2 linked regions of the Oreochromis niloticus genome follow. Each later gene encodes a partner of the first gene's protein in a complex. Links are inferred from orthologs where the notes say so. Each region holds a gene or a part of one and is shown in the gene's direction. Other genes may lie near its edges.

Evidence for each region. Proteins that work in one complex are often made in the same cells at the same time.
Region 2: nod2 (region 1) and map3k20a share a complex: the UniProt entries of both Homo sapiens proteins name them as parts of the signaling complex. The link is inferred for Oreochromis niloticus from reciprocal best matches to the Homo sapiens genes NOD2 and MAP3K20.

Annotation. Positions count from the first base shown.
Region 1 is NC_031965.2:31,482,244-31,492,934, reverse strand, and holds the start of nod2 (nucleotide-binding oligomerization domain-containing protein 2), read left to right. Parts: upstream 1-5,234; 5' UTR 5,235-5,493; intron 5,494-5,790; 5' UTR 5,791-5,864; coding exon 5,865-6,350; intron 6,351-6,836; coding exon 6,837-6,963; intron 6,964-7,220; coding exon 7,221-8,991; intron 8,992-9,142; coding exon 9,143-9,226; intron 9,227-9,309; coding exon 9,310-9,393; intron 9,394-9,477; coding exon 9,478-9,561; intron 9,562-9,635; coding exon 9,636-9,719; intron 9,720-9,830; exon of another isoform or gene 9,831-9,856; coding exon 9,857-9,940; intron 9,941-10,064; coding exon 10,065-10,148; intron 10,149-10,386; coding exon 10,387-10,459; 3' UTR 10,460-10,691. UniProt on the Homo sapiens protein: Pattern recognition receptor (PRR) that detects bacterial peptidoglycan fragments and other danger signals and plays an important role in gastrointestinal immunity.
Region 2 is NC_031987.2:16,484,506-16,495,818, forward strand, and holds the start of map3k20a (mitogen-activated protein kinase kinase kinase 20), read left to right. Parts: upstream 1-7,036; 5' UTR 7,037-7,273; intron 7,274-8,734; 5' UTR 8,735-8,765; coding exon 8,766-8,924; intron 8,925-11,145; coding exon 11,146-11,233; intron 11,234-11,313. Other genes in the region: rapgef4a (rap guanine nucleotide exchange factor 4), read left to right, coding at 76-126, 227-314, 433-497, 606-660, 1,888-2,015. UniProt on the Homo sapiens protein: Stress-activated component of a protein kinase signal transduction cascade that promotes programmed cell death in response to various stress, such as ribosomal stress, osmotic shock and ionizing radiation.

The DNA of each region.
Region 1 (10,691 bases):
GTGCAAACTCGTGTGCTGATATGAGTTTAAAGTCCAGTTAATATAAATAGTCGATATAAATACGTGCAAGTGATGTAGAGGTACTGATGGATGGAAGGTCAGCTTCTGGTTTACACCATATATAGAAAGTCTGAGCATGTGGCACAGTGTCAGTTATACATACACTCTACTAACAGCAATTACAGTTAACAATTACCAAGAAAAGCAGCTTACAGAAGAAAATAAAGAGCTGCACTCTCTCAGCACTGCACATCATAGAGGTATTTAAGTGTGCTGTTGGCTAAGAGGATATTATTCAAAGTGACAGTTGCTTAGTGTAATTAAAGGTGAGGAGCTCAGCACAGTAGAGTATACTTCCTAATAGTGACACAGTGACTTTTCTAAACCTTGATTATTTTTTATGTTTAGTTTAATGTCATTACTGAGATAATAACCATGTGTGTGGTTATTCCATATTTAAGGCTATGAAGAGTCTGGTGATTGTCATGGAAAAAAAATCCACATTAGCTGGGACTATAATAGGATAAACAGCTGCTGTGAATGTGTACTGTGTTATATTTGAGTTGTTGGGAGACATGGGTTACAAGGAATGGTCTTTTTGGATAGAAATAAACCCCGTCTCTGTGATACCACTGGCAAGACGCAATGATATTGACTTAAATATGGGGAAATGAGAGGCTGCCATAATATGTCCTCTGTGCTTTGTTTCCAGCAGATAGGCAAAAAGCTTTGAAGTGTGGATTGGCACAGCAGGGTGCTAGCTTCTGTAAAGGGAAGATGCTAAACGCTAAAGGATGAGAAGGACATGAGGTAGTCTATTACCAATAAAGGAGCAAAGAGGGGGGAAAAGGCAAATCCAATGATAATGTACATCTGTTCCAGTGAATTTATGAGCTTTGAACATTTTTTCATGTGGGATAAGTGGATCCTTTTTCTTACAGAATCTCAGAACTTCAAAGCAGATTTGCTTTGGATAATGCAAATGATCGGAATATGCCGGTCCCAGCCTCCTCAAGAGCATGAAAAGAAAAAGGGGAAATAGAGAATTAAAGCTAATTGGCATGGCAGTCTTTTATGTGTCTAAAGAAGGGCAAAAATAAAACACTTCAATTATTGTCAAGTTCATTCAATTAGGAAACAAGCTGACAAAGTGTTAAAGTTCAGTGTGACTGACCCAGAACTCATTTTCATTAAATGCCACTTTTCATTTTGGACAATTCCTTTGTTATAGCTGATGAAATCATAATTAGAAGGATTTAATTCACCCTATAATTACTAAGATGGCAATGACTTTGTTTAGCTCTGGTGCTGTGGTGGCTCGTATATAGGACTGAAAGTTATTTTTCCACTAGTCCAATATTTTCCACTTCTTATATATCATACCTCCAGAACAATGTGAGCATTTTAAGCAAACACAATCTGTTTATTAAGTTACTATTATGTTATTTAGTATTGGGTATAAAAAAAAATAAAACATCAACAAACAAGGATCACAGTTTAATTATGTCTTGTATATTCTGATCCCTATGTTTTTTTAAAACTTGGTCAAATGAATGGTAAGTAAAGAACAATACATCCTTTATTTTTCCTTTGCAAGGTAAAAGAGATTGTGAGGCTATACAGTGAGTCCATTTTTGAAAAGCTAAAATAGATTGTTTTGCATCTACAGGAATCTATAGTATGCATGAGAGGTTTAATTTAGGAAGAGGATCCAGGATATGGATATGTAGCCTGATCTTTGCAGTTTCACTGCATGAACTGATGTAATAACGCAGAGAGCAAAGTTTGGCCATTTTACATACATTTATATCCAAACTCAGTCTTTATCAGCTTTAACTTATGAATTAAATAGCTCACCATAAGATATAAACCCCGCCACAACAACATAAAAGGCAGCAGCGTGTTCCTTTTCAGTACATTCTGCAAATTGCACTGTCCAACTTTTTCAAAGTCCAAATCTGCTGTCTGGACTTCCAGAGGCTGACTCCAGACTTCTCGAGATAGCAAATGAATAAAACAAGGCTCCAGAAAGTTGCATTGGTTTTTAGTAGATCATTGGAGCTCTTTCTTTTTGCAACATCAAAGGCAGACGCAGCTCTTTGATGTGGCAGCATGCTGTTTAAGGTACAGACTGAATGGAGAGGTGTCAAGCTGCAAGGTGCCTCTGTAGTTTACGTTGAGTGCTGCAGAGAGCTGCAGATGAAAGGCGCAAACAGAGTTTGATAATGAATGTCCAACAAGTAGGACCCATCTCAGACAGCGCACACTCAGCAGGGTGCTTGCGCTAACCTTGAGCGCAGCACCCTAAACCTCGGGCAGATGCCGGAGACCAGACTCCTTCAACTTGGCTGCTCCTGCAAAAAGGGAGCTCTCAGATGTGAGCTTTAATCTTCCTGTCAATTAAATCCTGATTGACACACACACCCATACACACATCATCATGGACACATGCTCCTTTTAACCAGTCAGCTCTGAAAGCGACGCCATCCACTTCCTCTGCTGAATACTTGTCTTTCTGGCTTGAAGAGGCTATTTCTAATTATACATAAATCCTTCCAATATAAAAGGCATTTTTTGTCTTATATCCATGCATGCTGCAGTAGTTGTCCTCCAACTTTAACTTTATAAACTGAATGAGGTAATTCACTCAGCCATTCTCTCAGTGGAAAGCAATATTACAGCATGTCAATATACCATACACTCAGCTTTTTAACCTGCAATACCACAGATAATATGGCTGCCTTGTTTTTTTAGTTTGCAACCTGTTAAAATAAAGGTTTTACTGCTTGTGTAAACAAGCATACTGGGAAGAATGCTTTTTTTTGCATCACTGGTTTGGAGTTCTCTGTATTTTTATTAAAACATCTCTAATATTCCATCTTATTTATGTTTCCTATTATGCTTAGGAGTTATGGGAACTGATCTCTGAAACAACTATTCAAATTTTAATTATAAAAGAGATATGACTGTTTTTCAAAGTCTTTTTGACAAAGTGCCACTATAATTTTACTAACCTGCTAAGGAAGCACTATCTGATACAAACACATAAACTGTTAGCTGATTGAATTTAAGTCAATACATGTAGTTTTTAACAATAATGCAAATCGGTGTGCTCATGTTTGTGGTGTCATTGTACCGAATTTCCCTGACAGTGATCAATTACAGCTTCTGATTATTTGACTGTTTGATTTTGTCATATCATGTTATGTTATTTTTTTTTTGCAATATAGTTCTTTCAAAGTTCACTACATATGTTCTAAAAACAAGCACACTTTGTGTAACTGTAAGACTACACTAAAATGAGACATGACGGCTTGCTTCTGGGAGTTCTGAATCTCTGGTAAAGCAATCAGTACACAAACAGCCCATCAGTGCACCTGGCTTAACACTGAGCTCACAACATGTGCTTTTGATATCTGCACAGAAAGAATGCACAGTGATAAAATGGCTGCAGCCAAAGTATTCCATCTCTGTTACGAGAGTGAGAAGGATCCAGCCCTGAGCTGCACTCTTACTCATAGACATACAGTTTAAAGCTGATTTACTGGATGAGGTTATTTAGTGCTGGGTGGATCAAGACTTAACATTCATGTCCAATAAAGTCCAAGATAGGGATTAGATCCTGTGGTTCAAGGGTAATTTGATGTAATTTGCGATTTCAGGCTTGTCATGAAAAATAAATAAATAAATAACATACACAAACACACACACACACACATACAGAGGAAGACAGCCAGAGTGATAGATGTAGCTATACTGAATGATAGCGACATCAGGAAGAAAGAACATGTGAAGCTGAAGAAGTACCAAGTGCTAAGAGAAGAACTCAAGAAGATGTGGAGGATGAAGGCAACAGTAGTCTTAGTGGCAATCCCAGCATTTGGTGGCATGACCACCAAGCTAGGTGAGTGGCTCCAGCAGATCCCAGGAACAACATCTCTGTCCAGAAGAGCGCAGTCCCAGGAACAGCTATGATACTGCGCAGGACCATCAAGCTCCCAGGCCTCTGGTAGAGGACCTGTGCTCGAAGGATAAAGACTGCCCAAGGAGATTTTTTTTTATATATATAGAGTTGTCTTTAAAGTGATTGAGCAACAAAACTGTTCCTAATAATATAAAAATAATAATAATAATGAAGAATATTATATAGCCCAAACAAATGAAGTGGAGTTACATATTTTTCCTGCAATAAAAAAAGTGTTTGGAACTGTCTCCAAACAGAGCACAGAAATACAGCTATGTCTTTTGGGACCGTGTGTGTATTTTATTTTTTTATTTTCGACATTTTTTTTACCCTTTTTCTTATGTGTTGAAACTTCTCTCGACCCCCTGCTGTGATTTGGATAACAGAACTCCACCTTAAAGCTTCAAGTAAGATGCCTGACAGAGAGCACTCTGCATTACACTCCCCTTGGTGGAGTTGCCTGTTTTCAGACAAGAAGAACAAGAAAAAGAAGAAGAGAAACTCCCGTTTGAAAGTTTTACTCCAGTTTGTCTTTGATTACTCCTGCCCTTGAGTGTTTGAGGATTTTCTCGAACAGGGCACAGCGAACACACACAATAAGCTAATCATGTTACTCAGGAGGGAGCTGTAATAATGAAAATGATAAATATATGACTGCCCGAAAAGCCACTCTCGCACCTATTTTATCTCAGCTTCAAAGAATGCAGAGGGAGTAAGGAGCATTATGTGCGGTTTTAGGGTTGGGTTTTTTTGAAGTTTAGATCAGATGCACAGCATGACGCCTAGACTGCAGGTTCTCAGTTTCTGTTCTAACATTGTAAAACTGATACCGTAGCAAAATGATTCCCTACAACCTCTTTATGAATCTGCTGGGGTTTTCTGCTTGATTTCTAATTAAACCGCAGTATCTTGTGCCCACAGACACAGTTAGAGCTCTGATTGAATTGATTCGAAGAAGACAGCTTTAGTGATACTAAAAGAAACTGTTAAAAGTGGAAAATCTCTGCCGACACCATGTTGTTTTCTTATGCAATAGTTCCATCAAGTGGTTACAACACCAAACTGCGACGAGGATGGAAATACCTAGGACCCGTAAAAGTTTCCGTCACTTTCTTTAAAAAAAGAAAGAAAAAAAACCCACCCAAAATTACCCTTTCTATTCAACCTTCTGCATTTTTAAAAGCTGCAGTTCCTCTTTGTGGTCTGAAGTATGCAGTATCTTGCAAACAAGACAAGAGGATGTGGAAGTCTCAGTGAAATATAAGCGCTTGAGTGTGGCAAGCTATATTTAACCACCCTTAAATATCAAGTCACCATTGTTTGCTCTGTTTGGAAAACACCAGGGAAGTTGAGCATTGCGTCTATGCCACATCTCCGCCTGTATTTAGTTTCCATATTATGGGAGGGACTTGGAAGCAGAGCAAGTTTCACTTTCAGCTGCAGAACAGGGAAGCGGTAGGACCCTATAATTCTACAGCGGCTCTGTTCGTATGACAGAGGGAGGAAAGAAAGCCATGTTCCCATTAAATGTAAGTGTTCTTTTTTGTGGTTTTATTTTGTGTTACTTGCGTCTGCAATTGAGGTCGCGTAGTCGACTATTCTGTACTTGTACATGTTTTAAAGGGACCTGCAACACATTTGATGTGTATGTAATGGTAGCCATATATTCTTTTCATTCTGTTTTAACTTTTTGTTATGGCTTAACAGAAAGACGCACAAAATGACATGTACTGCTGTATGGTATTCAAAACAGAGTTAGAAAAGAAAGAAGGAAGCTCTAGTTGGCCCATAGTAACATGATGACATTTGGCCATTTGCTGTGACAGGTTTTCACACCACAAGAAGCAGAAGTAACCACAAACTGAATGTCCCTGAGCATGGGCACTGATATGGACAAAGAATGCTTGCCGAGGAACTAGTGCTTAAACAAAGGACGAAGATACTGCATGCACTGTGCAGCAGTGGGTCAGCAGAACATCTGGAGAGAGTTCTGGATATACTGCTTGCCAAGGGGGCGCTCATATGGGAGGACTACCAGAACATACAGGTACCAGGAAGAACACTATATACCAATGCAAGACAGCTGCTTGATCTGGTCTATACAAAGGGTGTGGACACATGTGGGCTCTTTCTAGCTGCTCTCAAACTGGCCTTGCCTGAAGCACAGGCAGTGGGGCTCTCCTTCTCTGAATCCTGCTCAAATCTACAAGAAAACGATGAATGTCAGAGCACTTCTAATCAAACTCTTCTGGCTCAACGACCAAGCCTTGTCCACAAGCTTCAGGGCTGTGTTGATGGTGTTCTAGCAGCTCTGCTGGATTCAGGTCACTTTTCTTCAGCTGATTGTGATGAAGTGCGGTTACCTATATATACTCCCACCCAACAGGTACTGTAAGCACCTGAACGTCACATTGTTAAAATGTGGTTTGACAACTTTATACAGTTGTTCTTTACCTTTAAACTGTCTTGGAATGAAGCTTGTCATTATTTCTGCATTCCTGATACTTAGATGTCATACAGGCAGACGTGCTGGGGTATTTTTGTTACTTTTTGTGTTACTTTATCAGTCAATACTATTACTTTAAATAGATCTGATACTATTCTGATATTCCTGAGTAATTATACAAGTAATATAAAATAATACAAAGAAAACTGGTAAACATATCTTGCTGCCTTTGTATAGATCCAGGCAAGGTTTTTACCACTTGCTGCCTGTCTTTGTGCTAAGCTAAGCAAGGTAAAGCTCTTTCTGCTGTTGCATTATTAGATTATGAATATGTAAGTTGGTCTTTTATCTAACTCCGCAACAATCCAAATAACTGTCAAAAATAAACTTTTTATTATTTTCATCCATGTCCATGTGATCAATCAGGCAAGGCGTCTGCTTGACCATGTCAGATCCAGAGGTGATTTAGCAGCATCGGTTCTCCTGCAGTACATTCATCAAAAACAAGAACCTGGATTGCCACTTAACCAGAGGGAACTGACTCCTCCCAAAGGTCTGTTACTGTCAAAAGCAATGTTTAAAATCGCAGAAATATATATCGTTTTTATGAGTAAAGCTATCCTTGATCACCCTCATAGGAAAAATGCCCCAAATACAGAAGGTTTCTGGTTATGCTTTGAAAATACAAAATTGGCAGGCATGCCAAGATCAGTTATGCATGTTCCAGATTTGACCAAAGATATACAGGATGTATGAAATGATGACTGGTTCACTCATTCCATCTTTTCTTCACAAATTTTTCTTTCACAGAGTTTTTAAAGTACCAGAAGAAGCTGAGCAGTTCTGTGTCTGCTCAAGCCTGCTTTCTCAGTACTTATGCGGGAACTAGCCATATGTCTCTCGATGACATTTACACTGATGGCCAGCTGGAACTAGCCGAAGTTAATGCCCATGGACCTTTGGGATTGGAAGACATCGTTGGTTTGGTGGGTATAGTGAATGAGGAGGCAGACACAGTGCTAGTATCCGGGGAGGCAGGCAGTGGAAAAAGCACCCTTCTCCAGAGGCTGCACTTGCTTTGGGCTCGAGGGGTAGCCCTTCAAGACTTTCTCCTTCTATTTCCATTCAGCTGTCGCAGGTTGAATTCAGAGCACAATGAACTGTCAGTCCAGGAGTTGTTGTTTCAGCACTGCTGCTGGCCAGACCGGAACCAAGAAGAAATTTTCCAGTTCATCTTGGACCACCCACATCAAATCCTGTTCACTTTTGATGGCCTGGATGAGCTCAAGCAGAGCTTTACAGATGAGCACAGAGTTTGCTGCCCCACCCAGCGTGCACCTGTTCATGTATTATTGTTCAACTTAATCCAGGGTTCCCTCATGAAGGGGGTGCAGAAAGTGGTCACTAGCCGTTCAGAAGCAGTGAGCCCATTGTTAAAGAAGCACCTACGCAAAGAGGTTGTCCTGAAAGGGTTTTCCCCAACTGGGATTGACAGTTTTGTACGGAAACATCACAGGGACCCTACTGTAGCTGCTAAGGTTTTAGAGTCAATGCAGGCGAACACAGCTTTACTTGGACTATGTCACAGTCCAGTTCTCTGCTGGATAGTTTCACAGTGCCATAAGGAGCTGCTGGGCTGTGGAGAAGGCAGCCCCAAAACAATTACAGATGTTTACCTGATGATCTTACAGCACTTTCTCCAGCACCAAAGTCCTCTGAAGAGCACCATGGGTTTAGGCTGGCTACAGGAGCACCTAAAAACAGTCCTTCTTCTTGGACAGCTTGCTTTTGAGGGGATAACATCCACCTGTTATATTTTTTCAGGTACAGACCTAGAAGCATGCGGTGTAACTGAAAAGGATATCTGCATGGTTTTTCTGATAAAAAGCAAAGATATGTCCTCTACTCACTCCAAATGCTATGAATTCAGTCATGTGACATTGCAATGTTTCTTTGCTGCTCTCTTCATTGTTTTGTCAAGTAACACTAACCGTTCAGTTATCCCAAAACTCTTTGAGCTAGAGAACAGGGAGACAGGTCTGACACGTGTCTGCTTTACAGCCTGCTTGCCTTCCAGTGATCAACAACAGCAAGCTTCAGAGAAGGAAAGTAAAGCAGCAGAGACACCAAATCTGCAAATCACAGCCATGTTTGTGTCTGGACTATTGTCCCAGCGCCATCAAAATCTGTGGCTCCACTGCTGCCCCAGTGCTGCAGTGGAGAAAAAGGCCAGACAGGTGGCAAGATGCCTTTCCAAAGGCATTCAGAAACACTTTAGGTCCATTCCCCAACCTGTACAAGGGGAAAAGAAGAGCATGCATGCAATGCCGGACTTTGTGTGGCTTATAAAATGCCTCTATGAGATGCAGGAGAGTCGGATAGCTAAAGATGCTATGAGCAAGCTGGAGGTGGACCATTTGAAATTGACATACTGTAATATCGGACCTGTAGAGTGCACGGCGCTTGCTTATGTGCTCCAGCACTTAAGAAATCCTGTAGGCCTCCAGCTGGACAACAACTCTGTGGGTGATGTTGGAGTGGAACAGCTTCTTCCCTGCATGCACATTTGCAATTCCCTTTAGTAAGTGGAAATTATACATTTTTCTTTTGTTAAATTTCCTTGGTTAATAGATTGAACGCCAATTCATTAGAGTGAACAAACTCTCCCTAACTGCTTTCACTGTAAGAGAGGAACAACTTTTATTCTGAAATGCATATTGTTCCTTCCTTAGCCTCAGAAATAACAACATTACAGATGAGGGCATCCGCAAACTGATTGCTAAAGTCATCCAGTGTGACAGCTTTCAGAAAATTGCGTATGTATTATCAAGGTGATTAATACTGCAAGTTAAATAAAATTTTATCAGTTAATTTTCAAAATCTTTTTGTTTCTTTCCAGGCTCTTCAACAACAAATTAACTGATGCTTGCATGCAGGATTTTTCTTATTTATTGAAGACCAAGCAGGTCTTCATTTCTTTAAGGTCAGCGTTTGTCATCAAATGTGACTCTACTGTTGGATTTTACCAATGACCAAAAGATTAACAAATAACCTTCTTCTCTTCAAGGCTAGGCAACAATAACATAACAGCAGAAGGAGCAAAGCAGCTGGCAGAGGGACTGAAAGCCAATCAAACCTTGGCGTACTTAGGGTAAGTGTTTCCCATAAAATTTCATGTTTCATTGTTGATGAATTTTCATTTACAGTATTTCTTTGCATTTCCAGGTTATGGGGCAATAGGATAGGTGATGCAGGAACTGAGGCCCTTGCTAGTAGTCTTGAGAGAAGCAACTCTCTGGTGTGGCTAAGGTAAGATTTGCAATAATTCTGGAACATGTTTGCTTGACTTTCACATTATGAAAACCATGAAAGTGTTATTTACATGATATGTTAGGATGTTTTATCTGTTGTTTTTGAAAGCGCATGTCAGCACATTTTGCTTACAGCCTGGTAGGCAATGGTGTAGGGAGTGCAGGAGCATGTGCCCTCGCTAATCTCATCAGGAAGAGCACATCACTGCAGGAACTTTGGTAAGTGTTAGACACAAGTTGTATGCAAGTTGTATGCAAATTACCAATAGCTGGCTGGTTTGATGGTAACCACTGCTTGCACAGCAGTGCTTAAAATGCTCCACCCTCTTATTTCCTGTTAAAGGTTGACAGAAAACTGCATAACCAGAACGGGGGTGGAATGTCTGATTCAAGCCCTTAAACACAATACACATGTGACATCAGTATGGTATGTAATGCTCACCAAGCCTGACACTCATGAATACAAAGTTTCCTACATTCTTTAGAGCAGGCACTTTTGGACTGTTTGCATCCAGACAAGTTGTTTGTCAGTTTCAGTGCCAAGAAAAATGCTAAAAAAAAATGCATCAGTTTGGTGTAAGCTAGACTATTCTTTTTCTTTGTTTTTGTTCCCATGTCTCCTGTTCATTTATTTACTACTACTACTGTCTCTTCTTATATTATAGGTTAAGAAACAATGATCTCAGTTTGGAGGATGCAGAAGAAATGAAGCAACTGGAATCAAGACTGATCTTCTGATTTGTATTGCACTGGCAAAAGACTGTACTTTGCAAGAAAATGTATTTTATTTATTACAGGAATAGTTTCTACTTATATTTGAGATTTAAAATGTGTGTAATAGGGTTTTTTCTTTTATTTGGATCAGTGTTTTTTCAAGGTTGCAAAATACATACACCTCTTTATTGGGTTTTTATAGGTGGAAGTGGTGTGGCATTGCTTTATACCATAACAAATACTACCTTTTACATCA
Region 2 (11,313 bases), on another chromosome or scaffold:
GTGCATTGTCTGTCTTTGGAAAACTATTAATTACTTAACTGCAAGCAAACTTTTGTCTGGTGTTTTTGTTCGCAGAAACTTCCCAGTAAATTCAAGAAATTTTATGTGGAATTTGAAAACTTGATGGTAAGCTCCAGTCAAAATTTAAGATGAGCCACCTGATCAGAGTAAAATATGAGGTTAGTGTCCAGACTGTGATTGATCCACAGCATGACTGTCTCCACAGGATCCGTCCAGGAACCACAGGGCGTACCGGCTAACAGTAGCCAAACTGGAACCTCCCATCATTCCTTTCATGCCGCTGCTGATCAAAGGTTAGGCCAATTTATTGGATGACAGTTTATCATTTTGGCCTGTAGACCACAATTGTTTCCCTGCTGAATTGCTTCAACAGCTTTAACACTTTCCAATTGGTCCTTTTGTTTTTTCTAGACATGACATTTACTCATGAGGGCAACAAAACATTTATCGACAGTTTGGTCAATTTTGAGAAAATGGTGAGGCTCTGCTGTGCAGATTATTGTCCATGAGTTGGTGTGAATCTTTTTTGTTCTTCTCAGCTAATTGGCGATATTTGTTGCTGATCATTGCTTTTTGTCTTGCAGCGGATGATAGCTAACACGGTGAAAATAGTGAGATACTGTAGAAGCCAGAGATTCAGTAAGTTGTTGTTGTTGTTGTTTTTTAAATGTACTAATTTCACAGATGTCACACTTAATACAGTGGTCCCTTGCTATAACGCGGTTCACCTTTCGTGGCCTCGCTGTTTCTCAGATTTTCTTGGGTGCAATTTTCCATTTTTTTTTTATTTATTTATTTTTTTTCTTACAGCGTCCTGATTGGCTGTAGACCATTGTCAGTCAATCTCGTGCCGTGTCTCCTGTACAGTACAGAATGCGTTCAGCTTGTCAAATTTACATAAATGTTCAATCGCTAGAAGTGTGACTCTGATGTGCTGTACTGTATGTTTGTAAGTTTTCTCCCCAACAAACATAACAATGTCGATGAAACGTTTTGCACTGTCAAAGGAACCTGGGGGTGCCTTTGGTTTTATTCTTTAATGACTTATTTTTCCAAGAAGGTTTGAACTTTGAGATTGTTTAAACAACAGAGAAAAGTGTGAAAATGTTCATGCCTGTCTGAGAAAAGTGTATAAAGTGTGTAGTCAGGGGTTTTACAGCCTTAAAACATCTATAATAATTGTAAAAAATAAAGTTACTTGGCAGATTTCACCTATCGCGGGTTATTTTTGGAACGTAACTCCCGCGATAAACGAGGGACCACTGTACAACAAAAGGACACTTGATAAAATTAAACATAAAAAAATAAATAAACAAAATATATCTTGGAAGCACAATATCAAAAAACTGTATGATGAAGAAACAACAATAAAAGACTTTATGTCCTGTTAATTTGATGTCTATTAGATACATCTTAGAATAAACCTGTAAGCTGGAATAGAGCTAATAGAAGAGGCCATGCTCCAAGAAAGCACATTGGGAGAAATTCTGACAATGCAACTAGCTTCCCATAATTTTAATTTCTTATTTCCAAAATAAAAAATAATATTCTCACAATGAGTTGAGAAAAGTATCCATTTTGACTGACTGACAGCAAGCTGTGATATTGATCTTTTGAAGTTTAATTGGAGTATAATATTGGTATCTCTGAACCTTTAACATCTATATTTGATCATTTATCCAGCTGTTTCCCATTAATCCCTTCATATTGATTGCCCATACAGCTTAGATGAACTCAATCAGCAGAAATATTTTTTTAAAAAAAGCACAAATATTTTAGGTTCCTGCCTGATTTTGCTATATGATGAACTTACAAATTTTTCTTGCATTTTTTTCCTGACACTGCCCATCTTTTCAATGAAATCAGGTCCAGAGTCACCACTGCCAAGCAAGAACCACCCTGACGTCTGGACTTATATTCGTCAGCTTAACGTGATCGATAACCAAAGGATGCTTACTCAGCTCTCTCATGGACTTGAGCCCCGCAGGTCTTGAAATCCACTCAGGGACAGAAACATTACACGAAGACGCTACTCCATGACGTGATGTGCGCTCGCTTGGGATGAGTTTACTTAGTACAGGATTGAGGACCCGATGTTGTATCAGAAAATGAGATATTGTTTCAGAAGCCTGCCTTGTTAAGCTTTTTCTTACAGTAATTTGTGATATTTTAGCAGTAATTGTTGGCAGGTGACGTACCTCCTCGTATCATTGTCGTGCAGATATCACAACAAACTGTGTAAGATTTTAGATGTAAACGCTATATGATGCTGACGCTTACAGGTCTCAATATTCCTGATATTCAGTTGTTTCGTATATTTTGTATCAGACAATATTTATACATATTTAAGTTTTTAAGACTCTTGTGTTGTAAATTGTATACAGATATTTATTTTGACAAGCATGCAGAGGATTATGATTGTTTTACTTTTTATTCATGTGAGCACATTTCTCTTTAAAGCCTGAGATATCATAAGTGTCTGAAAACCTTTTTGTGCGCTCTAAATAATAAAAACTTTTAGATGTATTTGTTCAACTTTATATTTATTACTTTATAAAGACAGTTTGAACAGTATACTGTCAGTGTATAAGATGGAAATCAACCAAGACAACTCATGAAACATTTGCTTACATCTTATTGAATTAGAGCACTAAACCTCAGAGCAGCAGCAGCAGCAACAGCAGCAGAACAGGTCAGCTGATCACAGTATGTACATTATGAAAATCTACTGGAACACACAATAGAAAAGACTGTGAGCTGTGATTATTTTCATCCCGATTATCATCCCGACTGTACTCATTTTCCTGTTTCGATGTGGAAGCAAAGTCACCCTCTACAATGTAGGCAACTATTTTTTAAAGATTCTCCTTCTTTTTCTCCGCTCATGTTCTACATAAGTGATTCAATTCATTAGAAGTAAAATTTAGAGTGAAATAAAATTTGGATTCCCATGCATTAATATAATTTTATTCTATTAATATAGCACAACGTTCTGTTCGCTTTGCACAAAAGTAGCTGATAGAAATGTCCTCTAAAAAGCTACTTTTTACATCCTTACTTAGAATACATTTCAAAGCCAGTACTTTTTCCACTTTTACTTGAGTAAAGAAGTGAAATCAATACTTTTAACTAGTATTTTTTTTAACAAAAATGTCTGTACTTCTACTTAAGTACGAATGTCTGTAATTTTGCCACCTCTACTTGACACTAGCCTATGAATCATTTAAGCATAAAACTCATTCAAGCATAAGTCAAGGGATGAATCACCGTTGTATCTACATAACAGACAAATAAGCAACGAACAATTTTTAAGTTGTATCTTTAGGAACTTTGTTACTAGCAGCCTGCCACAAAACTTGTTCCCAAATCAATCTGTTGGACCTACAAAAATAATAAACATAGCACAGTCTGAAAAACAAAATTGTGTTTTTGCACCAACGAGGTGATTCTCAAACAGCTGTTAGCTAAAAACTTATCTTGACATGCTATGTAAAAAAATATTGAGGAAAATGGATTAGGACTAAAGAAGTGGGAGACCCACAAACTATCTATAGTATTTGAAAGTCATGACCTTAAGAAACAAGGGGAAAAAAAGAAAAAAGACCTGACAGGACCTGAGACATGCATCTGGCTCTTCAGCTGTTCCATCAACATGCCTGGAGAACTATGGCTGCTCATTAAAGCCTCATTAGAAATGATCTCAGTGGAAAGGTGGCTGTCAAGGAGTCATTCTTAAGAAAGTGAAACATGGAGAAAAGGCTGAGTATGCCAAATTACAGAAGAATCGTACTGAAAAAAATCTGTGGCAACAAGTCTTATGGAGTAATGAATCCAACTATGGAGGAGGTCAGGAGAGTGGTGCGTGCTGTGAGTGTCTGCAGCCATTTGTAAAACATGGTGGAAGCGCTGCAATAATTTCTAGCTTCATTTCAGCCAGTGGTGTTGGACCTCTTGTCAAAAATAATGGAAATATGAACACAAATGTACCATCAGAGTTTGATCCACCATGCAATACCATCTGGACACTTCTGATTGGCTTCATTTTTCAGCATGACAATCATCCCAAAAGGCCTATGCAGTAAAAAAACAAAACAAGATCCAAAAGAGACACGGATAACAAAACAACGGAGTATTATCACTCATGGATTGGCCTCCCCAGACCCTGAACCTCAACATCACTGAAGCAACATGGAGAACAGAACAAAAGTCAGCCAAAGAAGAGCTTTGAATGGGCGTCAAGAAGTGTCCATATTCCCAAAGACTACCTAAAGAAATTACAAGATGTTTACCTAAGAGAGCTCAGGCTGTGTTGAAGAATAAAGGTGGTCATACCAGAGAGTGACTTTCAAGCTAATTTCAATGGTATAAAGAAATAAAACAAAAATATAAAGAAATGAGGAGTGGCAGACTGCTTTCTATCTTGTAAATCAGGTTCTGCTTTAAGAAATAGCAGTTTATTAGTGCTGCTGAACCTCTAGTGTAGATTTGTTTAGTTAAGCTGGTTTCATAAAGGATTTCTTCTGAAAGTTTACGCTGAAAATATTTGGGGCAGCAAGAAGGAATTAAATGTAAATTAATTCTTATCTCAGGTTTAGCTTTGAGTGATTTGGCGTGTCTGATCAAACATTAATCATCATCACTTCCATTCATTTCTAGAAGTGCATTAAACATTTTTATTGTTGACTTATACTGTTGACCTGTGAATTGTGTCAACAGTGAAGCAGATGGTTGCTTTATATTTTCCATTCGCCACTACATGAGGAAAGAATGAGTCACTGACAGCTTTTAAGTTTGCAGAAATGTATTGCCTAGATTTAATATGCGATGAAAAGAGAATCAGTGAATCTGATATCTCACAGTGTTTCTGACGTCACAGTGGAGATTGAAGAAGTACTCATATTCTTCCTCCTAAAGCAGGGGTGTCGAACTCCAGGCCTTGGGGGTGTCCTGCAACATTAGTTCTTGTGGAGTCAAAAGTAAATTGAAGTGAATGAAAAATTGTTTTATATAAATTGTACAATATTCTTAAATGCTTTATTAAGCTGAAAAATGCTGTTGAAGGGTTTTTGAGTGATATATTTCTATATTAGTTCATATAGATGGTACAGTACATTTGAATGATTCCTTTGCTTTACGTGGTCTTATTGATTAAGAAATCCACATTGTCGTGAGTTTACATGGATTAAATGAGTCGTTGGTGATCTTATTGATTTCCCACCAAGCTTCCTGAGTTGCTGAAATGATGAAGGTCTTACAGCAATTATGTTTTTTGATGGATTGGGACATGAGTATAGGTCTTTAATAGAGAGAAATCCACAGAATGACTTTTCGATTTCAAGTCAAGGATCTTGTTGCATATCTGAATATATCAATTTATTATGTCGCCATCACCAAAAGAGAAAAAAAAATCTAACAATCCAATGAAAAGATTTAACACTGCACACTGATCTAAGCTTTTGCACATTTACAAATACATCTGAGAACATCTGTGATGAACAACTGCATGCTGCAGCTAATCCAAGATAACATTATGCATAGATCACATATTAACAATTGTAGAATGTACCTCGTGGGCTTCACGGATACAAATGTCCCCAAATTTCTAGCAAATTTCCACTTTCCAGATTTCTGAGTCACAGCTTTGCACTGCGCTCACCTTTTTGCCTTCTATCAGTCGTCTTCACCTATAATAACAACCAAACCCCTCAAAAAAACCCACTTAAACAAAAAATCAGGAGAAAGTTGACAAATCTCAATTTTCTGTCGCCATGCTTCTAAACTATCACCCAGTGGAATGAATCTCAGCTAAAAAACAAACATCCATGCATTTTCTTAACCGTTTATCCCAGCTGTCATGGCACAAATGGCATCTTACGCAACAGACAGGTTGCCAGTCGATCACAGGGCTACCACACACTCTTGTACAGTTAACCTAACATGTATGTCTTTGGACTGTGGGTGGAAACTGATGCATCCAGAGATACCCCACCCAACCAAAGGGACAACCCCATTAAAAAAGGCCCCACCTAGGCTGACCAGGAGGTTTCATTTCAGAACCTGGTTGCTGTTAGAAGTCACACACCTCATCAACCCTTAACTTTCTTGACAGTGGCAATGCAGAAGTCTTTGGGTGTAGCCTGGGTTTAATTGCTAATTGTGTATACCTGACAAGGTGTTGACAAAGACATTTCTGAGATTGGATTTGGACTGTCAACGCCTTTTAGAGCGTTTAGAGTGGTCTCATCCAGATAATGTCTTTTTCAGGGAAAGCCTTCCATATTTCAGTGAGACAATGCTAAACTACACACTTTTATTACAACAGCATGGCTTCATATTAGAAGAGTGTGGTTGCTGAACTGGCCTACCAGACCTTTCTACAACTCTAAACATTTGGCATATGATGACATGAAAAGCACGACAAAGAAGACCCAGAACAATTAAGCAGCTAGAATCTTATATAAGGCAAGGACGGGACATTCTCTCATAAAAGTCCAGCTGATCGCTCTTTTCAGATGTTCATAGGCTATTGTCTTGATGCATGCTCAATCATCCAGGTAAGTAAATCCCAAAAGGTTGATTCTGATCATCTGGATGTAGTGTTTTCAATGGGAGAAAGGTTTCGTCACTCATCTAAGTTCATAGGCTATTGTTATACGAAGAGGACATACTGTGCATTAGTAAGCACGACCCTGTCCAAACCTTTTTGAAATGTGTTGCTGCCTAAAAATGGCCTTATTTTTACCTGAAAATTGTAATATTCTAATTAGAAACATTTTATATGATTTCTGTTATTCTATTGTGCATAAAATATGAGTTTCTGAAACTTCAGATCATCACATTATTTTTCATTTACATTTTACAGAATTAAAAAAGTAATTACAGTTTTAAAATACATTTTTAAACATTTTTTTTACAGAATCAAATTAATTAAAACTACTTTGTTTTTAGTGTACCGCTGAGCTGCCCAGTAAGAGCTTGTTAATGAAAAAGAAATAACCACGCACCATGTAGGCTTTCGTGCGTGTGTCCAGCAGGGGGAGCTGTTGCCATCAGTATCACCAGCTGGATTCTGTCCAGTTCAGCAGGCTGAAAGTTGTGCAACCAGTGAAACCACACTGGATCGGGGAAATCAAGCGACGTCACGTGAGATTTCCCGGAACTATCCTTTCTTTCACAAAGTTTGTCTTGTGCCCGGTGCTGCCTGCGTGGAGGAAGAGCCGCTCCGGAGTGCCAGCCTTCACACTGAATGTCGGTATGTGTGTTTCGATAATGTTCACCAGTTATCCAATTAGTCTCAATGAGCAGTTTCGACATAGGCTCACTGTCCAGCAGATTAAATATAATACCAGTCTTGTTTGATATTAAACACAGATTCGTGCAGATGTGTTGATGCAGGCTGTTGAGTGTGGCGTGTTGCATTAATATAAGACTGCTATAAACATGTAACAATAACAAAGTAATACCGCTTTAACTTTACTCATAATTTTGCTCATACTGTATCTAGTTGTTGTTGAATGTTTTGAGCGGTGATTTAACCCTCACACAGGTATTATCTGCATCTCATACACAGCATAGTAACCGAGTAGGGGTTAGATTGGTTAAGATTGTAACATCTGCACATAACCACACTTTTAGCTGTGAAGATGTGACACAAAAGCTGACCTCGCTGTCTCAGTGATTAATTCATCATTTAGTTGAGATTACAGTGACTACCTGTGGTTTGACATATGGCTGTCAGGCCTTATTGTTGCGGCGCTTGCAGTCGTGTTTGCTATTAAGGGAGAACCTGGCAGCAATGACTGCAGGAGTACTCCCGTATCCCTGTAACCCTGGCTTCTTGAGTGGTCAGACAATACTTGGGGGGCTGGTCCACTGAGCAAATTGCTGCCAGGCTAAGTATAGCATGAATACAAGTAAATCAGCAGAGAGCAATGGCTCCCCTCTGTGACAATGGTGGCATTTCCCGTTGTGATGGATAGTAATCCCAATGAGGACCCAGGTAACAGCCTTTTAAAAGCCATAATTGCTCAGCTGTAAATGGGAAACCTATGAACAATAGCAATGCTATAATTTCCTGTAATGATGGAATTATTTCTTTACAAGATGCTTTTATGTCGCTACAGACAAACAAAAGGATATGATAATAAATCTGTGTGGTGTCCAGTTTGGAAGCATTATACCACTAACCCTGGCTTACACACACATCATCATGTTTGGCCTCAACACAAGCAAGAAGAGCGCTTTTTTTTTTGTTAAATAGAGAAAGAGAATATGTGGATCTCTCAAGGTGTTTTTGTCTTGAAACAAAAGCAGCTTTTATTGTCACAATTGTATGATCTCCCAGCTTGTTGTCCTACTTGAACCAAACCTGCTGGAGTAATCTGCGACTTTAGCTGCATGATCCCAGCATACCAGACATGCCTTTGTCCTTATACAAGCAGAGTCTGGACCCTGAGCCCATTGCTTACTGGTACTGATGAAGAGGACTGTATGTGTAAAAGAGGAAGAGACAGGGGATGGTAGTTTAAAATGAGCGATATCACCCTGCTATGCTCAATCAACCAATGGCAAAGCAGCCTCAAACCTGCAGCCACACTCACAAATGGTGTCTCACAGTGAAGCTTCGCTTTGATGGATTAAGTTTGTTTTACACAGAGGATTTTGTTGTGAACCCGACTTCCTTCATTTCCTGTAATCCCCCTCGCTCTTTTAGGAGCTGACTTGGAACTGAGTGCCATTATGAGATGATGTCTCCCAGCTTGTCTTTCGTGCAAGTCAAGTTTGATGACATCCACTTCTTCGAAAACTGTGGTGGCGGCAGCTTCGGAAGTGTGTACCGGGCCAAGTGGATTTCCCAGGACAAAGAGGTGGCGGTGAAAAAACTGCTCAAGATTGAAAATGAGGTAAGACTCTTAATTACCTGGATCTTTTTTTTTTTCATATATTTTTAATTGTCAGCATAGTAATCATTTTAATTGCTATCCCATTTAGCAAGATCTGGTGACTTCTGTACCCATCACTCATGGTCATTATACTCCCCCTCTCTGAGCAGTGTGCTGCGAAAGAAACATTATTGCCAAATGAAAGAATGTATTTGGCCCAATTACAGCAAAGGCTGCTCCTGAAGTCTCTTTGAAAGCACAGGCCCATTGTCTTAAAGACAAAACAGAATTATCTTTGAAATCTTTTCAGGGAAATCGTATTATGTGTGTCGGCCTGTGATCCGATGTTCAGAAAATTGTTCATTGTTTCTTTTATGAAATTGTAAAAGATCACAGATATCCATTCAACTTCACTCAAGTGTTGGGGAGATGATTGTTCAATGGGAATAATAATGTAATCCTTGCACATTGAACCACATGTTCCTTTAATTATAGTGTTTGGTTACGATTAAATTAGATCGTTTTATCAGGTTTCTGTTCATTCAAAAAAAAAAAAAAAAAGGTTACACATTAACCTTTCTGGGCCACGATTATGCATTGATACGTCTTTGTATACGCTCCAGAAGACTCCATAGGACGAAGAATCTTTGAGAAAAACTCATTGGCGTCCAGTCAGGGTGTGAGATCCATGCCACTGAGTTCTGTAAAAGTCTGAAAAAGTCAAAGTCTGCTTTGAATTTTCCCGTTGGGGCATCAGGATAACCAGCAAGTTCTCATTTCTGCTTTTTATTAAATTCTTTTTTGTGAATTCACAAATGGCGACTCCTTCAATGATCCACTTTAAGTTAACTGGGTTCTAAATGGATTGCAGTAGATCTTATACAAGCACTCATGTCTAGGTCAGGGTGGTGGAGCTTTTATAATCAATTTGAGGAAGTATTCTATGCAGTTATCAGGTCATAATTTTAACTTTCATACTTTGGGTTACTTGGCTTGCTGCTAATAACAGTCATGTGAAAAAGAAAGTTCTCACAGGACTCTGTGCAGTCCTTTGAATAACAAAGCATTAATTCCATAGGAATTAAGAGGTAAACAGCAGCCAGGTGCTGTTTTTCAAATGCACTTAACAAAATAATCATCAGGAAGTATGATCAACTCTATAAAGTTAGAAGTTTTCACAGTTTGCTTGTTCGGGGCATTCAGTGATATGCCACAATCTTTCCAGGACCAGATGTCCCAGTGAAATTACCCCGAAGTCAGATCATGCAATGCTCTGACAAAAAGCAAAAAACCCAAGAGCTGCATTTCAGACTTACAGTTACAGTTACAGTTAGCATGTTAAATCTCAAAGTTCGTGAAAGCATAATTCGAAAAAATCTGAACAAGTATGGCTTTTTGGAAGGATCGTCCGGAGAAACCTTCTTTTGCCTAAAAAGAACATGGTAGCACAGCTTAGGCTTGTACGGTTGTATCTGAACAAACCGCAAGACTTCTGGGACTATTTTTGACAGAGAAGATGTTTTGGTAAGGTTACATACGTATATCAGCATGAACACCTCATACCAACTGTCATGCATGGTAGTGGGAGGGGTGATTTTCTAGGTTTGGTTTGCAGCTACAGAAAATGAGCACCTTGAAGTCACTGAGTTGATCTTGAACTTCTCTGAATACCAAAGTATTCTAGAGTCAAACGTCAATAAAGTTGGGCCATGCAACAGGACAACAGCAAAGGAAAGAATGAAGGTGTTGCAATGTCCAAGTCAAAGTCCAAACCTCAACAGCAGACTTGTCGAGAAGTGTGGTGATATGAAAGACTGATGAAGTCATACAGAAAGTGATTATTTTAAGCTATTGCTCTGAAAGTTGGTTCTGCAAGGTATTTCATCATGAGGTATAGTAATCAAATAGCTTGTTCTTAAAGGAGTGTAGTTATCTGTAGCATAGTAAATCTGCTATAAGGAAAGTGTACTCAGTGCATGCACGGTATGTGCAATTCTGCTAAGTATGTACATGCTGAATAGAGTGTGAATGTTGTCATTTCCTGAGACTTAAATTAACCTTTGGTAAAGGTGATTTAAAAAGAAAATATTACTTCACACACACTGACATCATGTGTGTACTAAATTATAGATCCAGACTTCATTTATTTAAACTCTAATGCAAATAAGGCTTCTATTTTCTCTTCTATTCTCATGAAAATTCCAAATGGTCTTATCTTCTTGTGTCTGTGTTCACTGGTCAGGCTGAAATCCTCAGTGTCCTCAGCCACCGCAACATCATCCAGTTTTACGGTGCGATTGTCGAGGCTCCCAACTATGGAATTGTCACCGGTAAGTTTATAAATAATGATGCATATTTACAGCAAAGAAACCTCAGTGAAAAACAGCATACAACAGAGCCACCAGATAAC